Ovis aries: one gene and its partner. Each later gene encodes a partner of the first gene's protein in a complex. Links are inferred from orthologs where the notes say so. Each region holds a gene or a part of one and is shown in the gene's direction. Other genes may lie near its edges. The genes, in order: RANGAP1 and SENP2.

Evidence for each region.
Region 2: the proteins of RANGAP1 (region 1) and SENP2 are in contact, whole or in part, in a crystal structure (PDB 2IO3), measured with the Homo sapiens proteins. The link is inferred for Ovis aries from reciprocal best matches to the Homo sapiens genes RANGAP1 and SENP2. Residues at the interface, in NP_001265580.1 of Homo sapiens: Glu467, Asn508, Thr511, Thr514, Arg515, Val518, His519, Leu523, Lys524, Ser525, Glu526, Asp527, Val529; in NP_067640.2 of Homo sapiens: Tyr408, His409, Trp410, Val477, His478, Asp495, Met497, Gly498, Gln499, Lys500, Pro536, His537, Gln541, Gln542, Asn544, Gly545.

What each region holds. Positions count from the first base shown.
Region 1 is NC_056056.1:218,247,020-218,254,678, reverse strand, and holds the start of RANGAP1 (ran GTPase-activating protein 1), read left to right. Parts: upstream 1-2,453; 5' UTR 2,454-2,712; exon of another isoform or gene 2,713-3,151; intron 3,152-5,217; 5' UTR 5,218-5,255; coding exon 5,256-5,367; intron 5,368-5,767; exon of another isoform or gene 5,768-5,840; intron 5,841-7,659. UniProt on the Homo sapiens protein: GTPase activator for RAN. Converts cytoplasmic GTP-bound RAN to GDP-bound RAN, which is essential for RAN-mediated nuclear import and export. Mediates dissociation of cargo from nuclear export complexes containing XPO1, RAN and RANBP2 after nuclear export.
Region 2 is NC_056054.1:202,374,743-202,381,939, reverse strand, and holds part of SENP2 (sentrin-specific protease 2), read left to right. Parts: intron 1-368; coding exon 369-463; intron 464-1,039; coding exon of another isoform or gene 1,040-1,091; intron 1,092-1,192; coding exon 1,193-1,251; intron 1,252-1,901; coding exon of another isoform or gene 1,902-1,902; coding exon 1,903-1,965; intron 1,966-3,899; coding exon 3,900-4,076; intron 4,077-5,588; coding exon 5,589-5,720; intron 5,721-6,950; coding exon 6,951-7,154; intron 7,155-7,197. UniProt on the Homo sapiens protein: Protease that catalyzes two essential functions in the SUMO pathway.

The sequences.
Region 1 (7,659 bases):
TCAGACCCACTGCTGTGGGGTCTGAAGCTTGCTGGGGGGCCCACAGGAAGCAGATTCATTCAGGTTGGAGTCACCAGGGCAAGGAAAGCCTCCTGGAGGAGGTGGCATTTAATATGGGCTTTGGCTTCCCTGGCGGCTCAGAGGGTAAAGCGTCTGCCTGCCATGCAGGAGGCCTGGGTTCGATCCCTGGGTCAGGAAGATAAATCCCATGGACAGAGAGGCCTGGTAGACTACAGTCCATGGGATCGCAAAGAGTTAGACACGACTGAGCAACTTCACTTCACTTCACTTTGCAGGCAGAAGAGGAAAGGGAGAATATAGGATCCACAACTCAGTAGTAGTGTGGACTAGAGTCTGGAGCTTCTGTTTTCTCATCTCTGCTGGGAAGGGTAGCAATGATGCCCTTTTCCTTTGTTGTGGTAAAGATTAATTTAGTTGTATGAGGAAGAATCTGGCACATACTACATTTAACTCTGCTCTGCTGCCGCTGCTAAGTCGTTTCAGTCGTGTCCCTCGAGGCTCCCCCGTCCCTGGGGTTCTCCAGGCAAGAACACTGGAGTGGGTTGCCATTTCCTTCTCCAATGCATGAAAGTGAAAAATGAAAGTGAAGTCGCTCAGTCGTGTCCAACTCTTAGCGACCCTGTGGACTGCAGCCTACCAGGCTCCTCCGTCCACGGGATTTTCCAGGCAAGAGTCCTGGAGTGGGGTGTCATTGCCTTGTCATTGCAGGTAAAGCAAAAGCATAAGCGGGTGTGTGGGCCAAGTTGTGAGAGGTAACTTTGGAAGAGAAGTCTGCCTGTGTTGACCGTGCTGATCTCTGGGAACTAGAGTTTCTTGGGTAACATTTACTTTTCTGTTACTATCCTGTTCTATGTTGGTTGAAGTGTTTATAATGAACACCTTATTTATATAATGGTTAAAAAGTTCTTTGTGGAAAAAAAGCTACTTGTATTCTGTTACTTAAAAATTCGAACCTAGAGAAAAGTAGCAAAAATGTTCAAAGAACTCCCACAGACCCTTCACCCAGATTCACTTGTTGACATTTTGCTATACTTGCACTCTCTAGCGTTACATATGAATGCATACATTTTTTAAGCCATTCCAAAGTAGGTTCGGTGAAGGCAATGGCAACCCACTCCAGTACTCTTGCCTGGAAAATCCCGTGGATGGAGGAGCCTGGTAAGCTGCAATTCATGGGATCGCTAAGAGTCGGACACAACTGAGCGACTTCATTTTCACTTTTCACTTCCATGCATTGGAGAAGGAAATGGCAACCCACTCTAGTGTTCTTGCCTGGAGAATCCTAGGGACAGGGGTAACCCCAGTGGGCTGCCGTCTATGGGGTCGCACAGAGTCGGACACGACTGAAGCGACTTAGCAGAGTAGGTTGCAAACATCATGCCTGTAATTATTTCAGCATGTATTTCCCAAGAACAAGGGCAGTCTCTTACATAATCAGGTAGAATTTAAAAGGAACAACAGGTTTAACATGGAAACAATGCTATTATCTTTTTTTTACAACGTTATTATCTAACATACAAATTTTTCTGTCTCAATATTGCCCTTTATTGTGATTCTCTGTACCCCGGCCCCAAGCTCCAGTCCAGGACCACGTGTTGCATTTAATTATCGTGTCTTTTTAGTCATGTTTAATCTGCAGCAGCTCCTTAGCTTTTCTGTCTCACGACACAGACATTTTTGGAAGAGTACAGACACATTATTCCGTAACGTGTTCCTCAGTTGGGTAGGTCCGATGGTTCCTCACGATTAGAGTAATTTTATGCGTTGCGGGGACTGGACGGTGACGCTGTGTCCTTCTCAGCACAGCACTGCGGGAGGTGTGCGATGGATGTCAGCGTCAGTGTAGCGTTAACGTGAACGTTAATGTGGTTAAGGGTGGTGTGGCAGTTTCTTTGCTACAGAGTTACTATTTCCCCCCCGTCCTTTTAATTATCAAGGAATTTGTGGCTATTTTTGGGAAAGTCCTCGAATGTCCTTCCAATTTCATGGGACAAAAAAAAAGCGAGGTTTTCCCTTTAGGAAATGGACACCTCTTAGCTTGCGGAACAGATTGAGCTTCGAGTCTCCGTCAGCACCAGCCTTTGTCAATAAAGTTACGTGAACGTGAACATTTCCGGAAGGGCGGAGCCGGCCCGGCCTCAAGGCATTTAGGGAATTGTAGTCTTCCTGGGAGTTCGCGGTTCAACGCCTCCCAGCGGCCTCCGGGAGAAAGAGCCAGAAGCCGCAAAAGGGAGGGCACAGAGGGACCTAGCGGAGGCGCCGGGACGCCGCGCGGGTATTATGGAAATGGTAGTTCGCGGGCGCGACTCTGCGGCGTCTAGCCGCTCCCCGCGCAGGAGAAGCGGACTACCATACCCGACAGGCCGCGCGCGCGGGGGTAGGGGAAGCCGGGCCGGGCCTCCGACAAATCAAATCGAAGGAAAGAAACTGCCGGCTTTCAAAATCCACCTCCCTCCGCCATCATCCGCCGCCGTGCGGGGAGCAGGTGGTGTCGGAGGTGCGAGCGGAGAGAAGCGGTTGGACAAAGCTGACGGACGTCTACCGGTGGGGCTGAGCATCGGGAGCGCCGGACCGGAGGCGGCGACCCCGATCTGACCTGACCTGACCTGACCCGGACCCTAAATCCGTCCGCGCCCGCCGGACGCACGCGCGCACTCCGGTCGCCCCACGCGGCGGCGCAGCCTGTGTACGGTAGGGTCGGGGATCCCTTTCCTTTCCTTGTCACCTGCCCGGGGATGCAGGCGGGGGTGGCGCGGCGCTGGAACCGGGCGAGGAAGGTGTGGCGCTTTCTGCGTGCCCCCCTCCGTTTTCATCCCCTGTGCCCTCGACCGCCGAGCGCCGAGCCGGGTGGGAGTTGGGGCGCTGTCCCTTTTCCCAAGCGGCGAGGCTGAAGCTTAAGAGAGGGCGTCAGGCCCACCCGGCTCGCCCAGCCGGCAGCGGCGTCCCCTTTTCGCGTCGGTGTCAATCCGAGGGCGGTGAACGTCCGCCTGGGATCCCGGATGGGGCTCTGGTGCGGCCCCGCCTGTCATTGGCGTCCCGAACTCGCGCATCGCTCTCCCGCCGCCGCCTCGCAAGAGGCCCACACCCGCCGAGGACCTGGGCTGGTGCCGCCGCAGCCCCGGGGACCCGCGTGAGTCACTGCCGACGCTGGGCAGGAGTGGTGGATGTGCACGGAGGCAAATGTGCCAGGCTCCTGCTCGGGAGGGAGAGGAGATTTTTGCGTTTACTTCGCCGCTGGCCCTTTGCAGACCTTGGACCAGTCAGTTCATCTCTCTGTGGTCCAGTTGCCTAGACTTTATAGTGGATAGGATGGGTGTGTGTGTGTGTGTGTGTGTGTGTACACGTAGGTACTGGACTTCTCTATGGGGGTGTGTGTGTGTACACGTAGGTACTGGACTTCTCTATGGGTGTGTGTGTGTGTGTGTGTGTGTACACGTAGGTACTGGACTTCTCTATGGGGGTGTGTGTGTGTGTGTTTACGTCTGTACGTTCGTACTGGACTTCTCTTCCAGCTGAGAAGTTCTGTGTTCCTGTTTCATCTGGACGCCTCACCACCGTTTTTCTAGCCTTAAATTGTCCCAAACCAGAATTACAAGGAGTGGGGGGGTGGTGTTGTCAGGCTATTTTATGTTCAGTTTCATCCCCTCGTTCATTCTTGAAGCAGCTTTGAGATTCCCAGCCTCACGCAGCAGATAGAGTGATCCTGTCAGAACATAACTCACATCACAGTCCCTCTTCTGCTAGAAACCCTCCAGTGGCTCCCTTTGTCATTCAGAGTAAAAGCTTTAGTTCTTAAACTGGCCTTTGTGACTGGGGCCTCTTGTTAATTCTCTTTATCTCTTACCTCTTTTCTCCTTCCCTCTCTGTGTTCCAGCCCCACTGGCCTCCTTGCACTTCCTCTGACCCCCACTTCACCCACAAGAGCCTTTGCAAGAATGTTCTTCCCCCAGATATCTGCATGGGTCAGTCCCCAATATCCTTCAAGTCTTTGTTTCTTTCTTGATAATACCTTCTTTAAGACTCTTGAGAGTCCTCTTGGATTGCAAGGAGATCAAACTAGTCAATCCTAAAGGAAATCAGTCCTGAATATTCATTGGAAGGGCTGAAGCTGAAGCCCCAGTACTTTGGCCACCTGATGTGAAGAACTGACTCCTTGGAAAAGACCCCGATGCTGGGAAATATTGAAGGCAGGAGAAGGGAACGACAGAGGACAAGATGGTTGGATGGCGTCACCGACTCAATGGACATGAGTTTGAGCAAGCTGCAGGAGACGGTGAAGGACAGGGAACCCTGGTGTGCTCCAGTCCATGGGGTTGCAAACAGTTGGACACGACTAAACGACTGAACAACCACCACCACTCTTATTTTAGATTAAATCCATTCCCCCCTCCCAAGAGAAAAAGGAAAACAGCAAAGTTTCTTACCCCTTTTCCTGTTTTTTTTTTTTTTTTTCTTATCACTGCCTGAGACACTAAATAACCTTGTTCTTCCTGATCACCCATTCCTCTTTGGGGAAATGTAGTGATCCTTTCTGCCAGTCTGCTGAACTGCAGGCTGGAAGCTCCTTTTTCTCAACAACTCTGTCCTCAGTCTATTGTGATGGTGGCTATTGTGATGTAGAGACCTCTGGTCGCCTAGGAACCCCTGAGGTCTGGCCGCCATGGGCTGCCCAGTCTCCTGGCCACGGTTGAAACCAGCTGTGCAGTAGGCTGTGCCCTGTGCCCCATCCCCAGAGTCATGCCAGTGAGGGCAGTGGGGCATTCTTTGGGATGGATAACCTGGATCCCATAGCCATCCATGTCCTGTTTGAGGAATGGGACCCTCAAACAGAGAGCGCCCAACATGATCAGGCAGGTGTGTGCTCTGGGGAGACTCTTCATAGCCGTCAGACTGGGACTTGACTGCCGTTCCCTGGGGACCCAGTGGTCAACTCACATGGCTCTGCTTGGTACCCTGCCTGGGGCAGTTGGGCAGAGGAGGGCCTGTAGTGGGACAGTAACTCTGCAGAGGTTGAAACCTTTGCCCTTTTAGAACTCTTTCTTGCTCAGTGTTGTTTTTATTTCTCCCAGTGGTTTAGCGCTTGGGATTTCCTTATCCTGGGGGGTGGGATCAGGCAGCTGAAATGGTCCTCCCCGGCCCTCCCCAACCTGGAGATGCCCAGAGATCCTCTCTCTTAATGCACTTTGACCTCTTCAGTCTGCAGATTTCCAGGGGAGCCCACCAACGCAGCCACCATGGCCTCTGAAGATATTGCCAAGCTAGCAGAGACGCTTGCCAAGACCCAGGTGGCCGGGGGACAGCTGAGTTTCAAGGGCAAGAGCCTCAAACTCAACACTGCGGATGATGGTGAGTCTCCGTGTGGACTGGCTCTGGAGGGACAGGGAACAAGCGAGAGAGCGCCTCCTCGTCCCACTTGTCAGGCCCGGTTAGCTTCATGATCACACTCGTCCTAGCCCAGTGAGGCTTGAAGATGTTTTGTCCACGAGCACGTGGTGGGCATCCCTGCCGGTGGCTTCAGGCCGGCAGATGGGAAGGGCCTTTTTGGGGGAATGGTCGGCAGTGAGGGACCATGGTGAGCTGCAGTCTCAGGATCCAGCCCTGATTTCTTACTTTAGATCCACCCCTACATTCACCGCATGATCCAGAGCTGGTCTGGGAATAGTCATTGCCTTCCTGAGAGCGGGAAGGTTCTGAGCACTGCACCCCCGAGAGCAGTGAGGCTGCATGAAAGGACAATCCAGGGGTTTCCCTGGCAGTCCAGTGGTTAAGACTCTGCACTTCCACTGCAGGGGCCATAGGTTCAATCCCTGGTCAGGGAACTAAGATCCCACATGCTGTGCAGTGCAGGCCAAAAAAAAGAGAGAGACACTGGGCCTTCTTGGGAGTCTAGTCCATGCAGTGAATGCCCCTGGGGGAGGGATGGATGTGCCTCTCTGTGAACAGGCATCCGGGCCGGACAGACCTAGAAGCAGAATGCAGACCCTGTCTGCTTCCGTGGCCCGAGTATGGCTGGCACGGATCCACCCCGAATCCCAGGCATCTGGAAGTGAAGGCGCCTGCGTTGGGGCCTCTTGAGGTTCCGGCCCAACCAGAGAAACTGGTCTGGACTTGCCTGGTTGTCCTGGTGTATAGGCAGGCTGGCTCCCATCCTCCAGGTCAGAGACCGCTTGAGTCCTTGCACATTCCTAACATCTCTGTAGGGCCTTAACCTTTAGAGTTCCTCCCTGTGCTTTATCACTTTTGATCCTTACATCATCCCTGGGGAAGGGAGGTAAACATGTTGCCATTTAATGAGTAAAGAGTAAAGAACTCGGGAGTCTTCAGTAACTTACTGAAGCTGCTGTAGCCCTGAATAGCAGAGCCAGGATTCCGTCAGAGGTACAGCAGAGTCCCTGGTCTGACGTGTCTCAGTGTACATTCAGCCCAGCTCAGTAAACGTGAATTTGCTATTAAATGCTGGTCATTAACACTGGGTCAGGTAGTCTTCAGTGCTGTACAAAGAGTGTCTCCATTTATCCCCCCTTGAAAAGGTCTGGAGGTAGGTTTCACCCCATTTTGAAAATTGGGAAGTTGAGGCCTAGGAAGGGTCGTGATAGGACTTTCCTAAGGCCCAGCTCTAAGCAGTGGAGCTGGGAAGAAAATTCAGGTAAATCGATGCACATAACCACTTCATTGGCTCAGGCTGGACGTGCTGCCTCCCGCTTTGGTGGTCACCAGGGATGGGCAGCTTAGAGCCCGAGCCTCTGAGGAGCTCCTGACCTGGAGTAGGAGTGAGGTCCTCATACAGCCAACAGGAGAGGGATGAAACACACTCTCAGAGACATGGAAGAGCTCTGGGAAGTAAGGTTGGGGAAGGGATCACTTGTTTTCCACTTAGGGAGAGGCTTAGGAGGGCTCTGAAAGTCCCCGAGGATGAGCAGACACTTGAATGAGAGTGGGCACCGCAGGCAGGAGAACCATGTGATTGGGTCAGGAGCTGGGACACGCAGGTGGGCTTGAGAGGAAAGAAGTCAGAATCCCAGAAGGAGCCCTGGGCAGAGGCCCTTGAGTGCTGTATCAAGGGCCCTGGTGGCCTGATCGTGAGTCCAGAAAGGGCCTCTGTCTTGGCTGGGAGTGAGCAGGTGAGGTCCAGGGAAGGCCATGAGGCCATTGATTAGAACTAGGCCCCCAAAATTGGAAAACAAAGAACTAGGTCCTTGTCTCTCCTCACTGAGTCATGTAAGGACCAAAGTAAGGCCTTGCTGCCTTATGTAGCAGAGCCCTGGGACTTGTTCCTTTGTGAGGCAGTCGAGGCTGAAAAGAGAAACCCCTTCCATACAGCCTGGTGACAGTTGGTGGTTAGTCAGGGCCAGCTGGGGCCCACCCCTGGCCTGTTTTAGTTCTGTGTAAAGTAACTCTGGGTTGCCGGTCAAGTGAGAGGCGACCCTGCTGTGAGCCCACCCTCTCCCGTCCCTGCCCTTTCCATTTGGGTGCTCGTCCTTGCATGCTCACTCTGTGGCTCCCTGGCTAAGCTCACGGCAAGCACAGTGCTTTCCGGTTTCTGTACCTGTGTCACATACTCGGCTCCCCCTGGGGCCCTGGCATCTCTCGCCTCGCTCTGAGGACAGTGTAAACATTCCCGTGAGCAGCCATCTTCCC
Region 2 (7,197 bases), on another chromosome or scaffold:
GGTTTTGTCATTTGGCTTTTAATGTGTTGTTTTGGGATGCACTTCAGTATATCATTTAAAATCTTTCATTTTTTAACTTGGGTATTATCATTCTGAGATTTTTCAGTCGAGGTGGCTTTGGGCATTGAAAACATCCAGTTTTATGGTAGAGAAATTGGAGGTTAGGTATCTTCGCTGGAATATTAGAATCAGGATCAGACTCCTTTTATCCTGGTCTCAGATGATACTATATTGTGATCTCTCTCTTGTGAGTTGACCTTTCAGGGTAATCAGTAACTCTTGTCTGGAGAAGTTTGCCAGGTAGAGACAGTGAATACTTACAGTAGATTTTCCTTTTATATCTGATCTTCACTTTTTGTGTTTCTAAGTTCTCAAAGAAGTCAGATGGACACATTAAAGACCAAAGGCTGGGGGGAAGAGCAAAGTCATGGAGTCAGAACAACTCAGTTTGTTCCAAAGCAATGTGAGTTCCCAGATTTAGCCCTGTCTTAATACCCTTAATATGTTGAACTTAGTTCAAAAGCATATAAAATTGAAAAATGGCATACTAGTGAAAGATGGTGTACCAAATTTTAAAACATTGTTAGACCCCAGGCTGTTGACTTACCCAGTACTAGTAATTTAGTAAGAAAGCTATTTCAAGTTAAAGCTGATCTATAAAATAACCTCTTGATTATTCTTCCTAGCTCCTGTATTGTAGCATATATTTTGTGAGCCTAAAATTAGTTTTGTTGTATTCCTATATTAATATCCTTGTTTTTTTCCACTTGCTGTTCACTAAATAACACTAAGTGATAGCTTACTAAGTAAGCAGATGTTAGCCAGTTTACACTAAAGACTATATGTAAAGGAGAAAGAGATTTATGCAACATTTTTTAGCAACTTAATTTGTATAAACACTAATGTTTTTGGAATCCATTTTAGCATTTCAATGTAAATGAGTATCTTCATACTTTGGGGACTGTAAGGTGAAATGCTAGCTATATGATTGATTAACGAAGGAAACACTTTTTTTTTTTTTTTTTTACCATTCTCACAGATAGAGTTGTTGAAACAAGGGGACCTCTGTGTTCAGTGAGAAGTGAAAAGAGGTACACTGTTCGGTTTATTCTAACTTCTCTTTTGACATATTTTCTTTCTTTCTTTTTTTGGCCGCACTGCACGGCTTGTGGGATCTTACTTCCCCACCCAGGTATTGAACCCGTGACCCCTTCAGTGGAAGCGTGGAGTCTTAACCACTGGACTGCAAGGAAAGTCCCTGACATTATTTTCTTACTTTATAAACTGTATTTAAGAGTAACTACATCTGTGAAACTGTGACCTCTTCTCAGCTCTGGCAGTTAGTCAGCATATGTGGGTATATAAGTAGCTCTTGTGTAAGATGCCCACCCTAGCTTGGGACGGTGCCCTTCTCTCCTAGACATTAGGCGTTGGGAGGCATCAGTGAGTGCTGCTGAGATAAGACTATGAGTGTGGTGGATAGTTCTAGTGATTAGCATCTCAAGTATATGAACAGTGAAGGCAGTTCTATGTGCCTTAGGATTTTAGATGCTGGTCCATTTATAGCAGACTGTGGTAAACTGTGGCCCATGGACCAAATCTGGTCTACCTGTTTGTAAGTACATTTTTATTGGACACAGTCATGCTCATTCATTTACATGCTGCTTAGGGCTGATTGAAAACAAAGTTGAGATGATATGACAGAAACCATAAGACCTGAAAAGCCTAAGATATTTATGAGCTGATCCTTTTTGGAAAAATTTTGCTAACTTTTGGTTTAGAGGACTATATAAACTCACGGCAATATTTGTTACTAATTATTAAATCTTATTTCTAAAACTAGTTTAACATGTACCAGATTAAAATCATCCAGTCTGTAATTTCTCAGTTTTTTTCCTCAGGTGTTCAAAGGGGAAAATTTCTGATACAGAAAAGACAGTTGGAATCAGACTAGAAAATGAATGTGTAAGTAGAAACCTTAGTTAAATTTTATGCCTTTGCTTCTTTCACGTGACTTACATTAAAATTTTGGTGCCCATGAAAAATAAGAAAGATAATATTTGTTACTTTAATTTCTAATTCCATTATTTTTCTTGAAAAAGCAACAAGCATTGAAGATACACACCTTTGGCTTTCTTCTAAGTTGCCAGATTTTTATCTCTGCAGTAGCCACCTTTGTGAGAGAGACCAACTTGGCTCCATCTTAGCCCTTATCTGTGTTGCCTGGCTTCTTTCAGAGATTCTTTTTTACATCTTTGTGCTGTGTTCATGAAGTTGCTTCAGTCATGTCCCCGCCTCTTTGCGACCCCATGGACTGTAGCCCTCCAGGCTCCTCTGTTCATGGGATTCTCCAGGCAGGAATACTGGAGTGGGTTGTCATGCCCTCCTCCAGGGGATCTTCTGGACTCAGGGACTGAATCTGCGTCTCTTATGTCTCCTGCATGGCAGGCGAGTTCTTTATCAGTAACGCCACCTGGGAGGGAAGCCCATTTAGGAAAATATTTGTTCAGGACTTTTCAGATTCAAGATTTCATATTTACTTGAAACTATTACAAATCTTACAAATGTTGAGTTTTAAGGCAGCTTTTTCACTCTGCTCTTTCACCTTCATCAAGAGGCTCTTTAGTTCCTCCTCACTTTCTGCCATAAGGGTGATGTCACCTGCATAACTGAGGTTATTGGTATTTCTCCCTGTAAAAACTTGATTCCAGCTTCTGCTTCATCAAGCCCAGCATTTCACATGTTGTACTCTGCATATAAGTTGAATAAGCAGGGTGACAATATACAGCCTTAACGTATTCCTTTCCCAATTTTGAACCAGTCCACTGTTTTTATACTAAGAACAAGTTTACCTGTAAAAATAGCAGTGGTTTATTTTTATTTTCATTTTGGGTTTTTTTTAATATACAATTTTTATTATTTTTAGCTATGCTCTGTCTTCGTTTGCTGTGTGTTGGCTTTCTCTAGATGCAGTGAGCGGGGCCTACTCTAGTTCTGGTGCTCTGGTATGCAGGCTTCTTATTGTGGTGGCATCTCGTTGCAGAGCAAGGCTCTAGGGTGCTTAGGCTTCAGTAGTTGTGGCTCACAGGCTCTGGAGCATGGGCTCAGTAGTTGTGGCACAGGGGCTTAGCTGCCCTGAGGTATGTGGGATCTTCCTGAACCAGAATTCGAACCCATGTCCCACGCACGCATTGGCAGATGGATTGTTAAAACCACTGGATCACCACGGAAGTCCACCCGTGGTTTATTTTGAGTGATAGGATTAAGGGTCATATATTTTGCTTTTTTAAAGTTTTTCAATATATCTTTTGACTATATTATTTTTAATTGAGATAAGAGAAGTGAAAATAATTTTCTTGCTGCTGCTGCGGCTAAGTCGCTTCAGTTGTATCTGACTCTGTGCGACCCCATAGACAGCAGCTCAGCAGGCTCCTCCGTCCCTGGGATTCTTCATGCAAGAACACTGGAGTGGGTTGCCATTTCCTTCTCCAATGAATGAAAGTGAAAAGTGAAAGTGAAGTTGCTCAGTTGTGTCCCACTCTTTGCGACCCCATGGACTGCAGCCTACCAGGCTCCTCCATCCACGGGATTCTCCAGGCAAGAGTACTGGAGTGGGTGGCCGTTGCCTTCTCCAAATTTTCTTGCTACCTCCTGGGAAAATGATGAATGTTCTGATTCATGATTTATAATTCAGGTGTCTTGTGAACCTTAGGTCTTGAAGTTTTCATTCCCTCTTGTAGGGACAGGCAGATAATGCTTTTTGTACTTTACTCATTTGGGGATGTACTAATTCTCTTTTCTTTCAAAATAATGGTGCTGTTCTATATTTCATGTGTTATATATGTGTATATGTACAAGTATCAAACATGTCAATAGAATATGGGAATTTTTTTAACCAGAGGAGGGGATTTCAGCTGGAACCCGACCTGTCTGAAGAAGTGTCAGCCCGACTCCGCCTGGGCAGTGGAAGCAATGGCTTACTCAGGAGGAAAATGTCAATACTTGAGACAAAAGAAAAAAATTGCTCAAACAAAGAAAGGGATAAAAGGACAGATGATCTTCTTGAACTTACAGAGGTATTGTTTCTTGTGTTAATCAAATAAGAGGCATGTTTTTACATAACCTTAGTTATTCAAGGCTTGAGTGCATGTTTTGTTTTGAGGAGTTTCTCCAGGAAATGTATGTGTGAAGGAAATCAGGCCCAAGGGCAGGTCATTTACTTGCTACACTGATCATTAGTGATCTGTACAAGTGGCCTAAGGGGTTAGATTAATTTCAGCAAATGTGAGTGGACAGAATTTTCACACATCTTGGAATATACTGGATTCTTTGTAGATTCTTTTTCTAAGCTTAAAGTATTTTGAGTTATGTAGTATGAGTTTGACACTATAAAGAGATTTGTTGCAGTTTTTTTGTTTTTGTCTTTTTAACGTTTTATTTTATTTACTTATTTTTGGCCATGCTGCACAGCCTATGGGATACCAGTTCCCCAACCAGGGTTGGAACTGAGACTCTGGTAGTGAAAGTGCTGGACTGCCAGGGAACTCCCCTTCATTGCAATGTTTGTTAAGTGATTATGGTTCTCTAAAATGCCCCTTTCATTGATCATTGTACAGCAAATAAGTAGAAGCTTATAGAAAACAAGGAAATGAAGGTTAACTTAAAAATTCTCATTTTAAAAGTGAGCCCACATTTTGACTCCTCCATTATTGTCTTAGCCGATGTCCTATTCGGTGATTATCTATTGAGCACTTATTATGTATTGGGCATGCAGGTGGAGAGAAAGATCCATAAAGTTGCAAAATTGTGTATAGTGGTAGAGGAAGCAGAAGTGAAAATATTTGGATGAAAGTTTCTAGTTGGTTTGTAGATTCAGGCTTATAGCATAAATTTATGTTTATCTGTGTAATTCTTTAGAAAAATGATGCCATCTATTTAGTAAGGACTCAGTTGCTAGACTGCTGCCTAGTTTTCTAGTTTCTGCTTATTCTCTTCACATCAGAAATGGATAGAATGATCTCTTTGATGCCCTAATTTTATTACTTTGATTTTTTAAAATCAAGGTTCAGGAGACAGTTGAGGAAAGTATGAAAATGCTTTTATAGTGTTGTGAAACGAGAAGAAAGTTCAGGAGTTAGACACTTCTGGATTCAAATCTTGGCTCTGTTTTTTAATCATCATATGACTCTGCATGTAACCAAAATTCTCTGAGGTTTACCTCTTCTATAAAATGGTGACAGTACTTTCCCCACAGATAGGGATTAACGAAGCACTTCAAGCATCTGGTACGTGTTTGGCTCATAGTGCTCAATAAATGGTAGTAGGATAATTGAGACTATACTTCAAACACTTTTACCCAATAACTTTTTCTAGCAGCTAGTAATTGGGCTGGCATTTCTTATAACTGTTAGTAAGACTGCTTTGTGGTCCTGAATTAAAATCTTTTTGTCTTTTGATTTAGTAGGTCTTTGATAGTTTTTCTTAAGGGTCAAGTATTATAGGGATGAAAAGCTTTTTTCAATCTCAGACTTTCAGTATCTGATAATGGTTCTTTATTAAAGTAACAACCTCTGGACTTTATAATTCAGGACATGGAAAAGGAAATCAGTAATGCTCTAGGCCATGGCCCACAGGATGAGATCCTAAGTAGTGCTTTCAAATTACGAATCACTCGAGGAGACATCCAGACCTTGAGGAACTATCACTGGCTCAATGATGAAGTAAGTTGTCTTTTTTTTTTTTTACCCCTTGGACTACCATTATGGTTAACTCTTTTCTACCTGTAATATCGTGGTTTCTACACAGGAGGGACTGCTAAGGTAGCTTTAGTTTACCTAAAACAAAAACATCTTAAACCTTGAAAAGATAGTTAATTCTGACTGTTTGCTGCCTTTAATTAGCGATGTTTCCCTCTTCTGCCTCTGCTTTGTTTTGTCTACATCTTCATTTATTAGTGACATTTTTATGAACCCTGGGTGCAACTGATAAATGGAAGGAAGCAGACAAGTGGTCATTTATTTTAGATGAATTCTTACAGGAGCCATTTTATTTTTTTCAATAATAAATATTTTGATCACTCTATATGCACTATGTGTTTATTTAATTTGAGTGATAAGTATAAACATTTGCCTAATGGCCTTGTCTCCTTACGTCTTCCGCTAAAGCTTAGTTCTTGCCAGTTTTCTGGTTGATCCTTTACCCAGCCAGCCATGCAGCCCCCTGCATTTTTTTCCCTTTGCTTTCCTTCCCTCTTGTCATGACTCATGGCATATAAACACATTCTTATAAAATTAGAACATTTCTGTTTCATATTACAAATACAATGTTTATTATAAAAATTTAGAAAATAAGGAAAAGTGAAGGAACAATATTATCATTCAAAAGTGGCACAGCTCTCTTGTAATAATCTATAATGGAAAAGAATCTGAAAAAGAATATATGTATGTAGAACAGAATCACTTTGCTGTACATCTGAAACATTATAAATCAACTATATTTCAATTAAAATGATTAAAATTATATATTTCTATGAAAACAAAAAAATGGCACAACTCAAAAGCAAACAAAATAACTATTGTTTTGGTGTATTTCCTTCCAGTGAGTTTTTAAAAATTGAGGTATAATTTATGTAAAATTCACTTTCAGTTAATATTTCCACATGTTTTATGTGTGGTGTAGTTACATACACCTTGTAGTTGTTGCAGAATTTCTCCTTGAGTTCTTTCTCATGGCTCTCTTATTCATATGCCTCAGAAGTACAGTCTCATTCCTTCTAAATCCCTCCCATTTTGCACTGATCATTTTTTACTTTCCATCTTCTGTCGTAGATAACCCTTTTATCTTCTGTCCCTTCCCTTAGTTTCTTATTTCTAATTCATCCTACTCAAGTAGAAATTGAGTTTTGATAATATACTTGGCATATTCCAATGTTTACTCTCTTGGTGTTACAGGTCATTAATTTTTACATGAATCTCCTGGTGGAAAGAAATAAAAGGCAAGGGTATCCAGCACTTTATGCATTCAGTACTTTCTTCTATCCGAAATTAAAGTCTGGGGGTTACCAAGCGGTGAAAAGATGGACCAAAGGGGTCAGTCTCTTTGAACAGGAACTTATTCTGGTGCCTATTCATCGGAAGGTACATTGGAGCCTGGTGGTAAGTTGAGAGGCTTAACTGTTGGAGTTTGGATAATGACTGT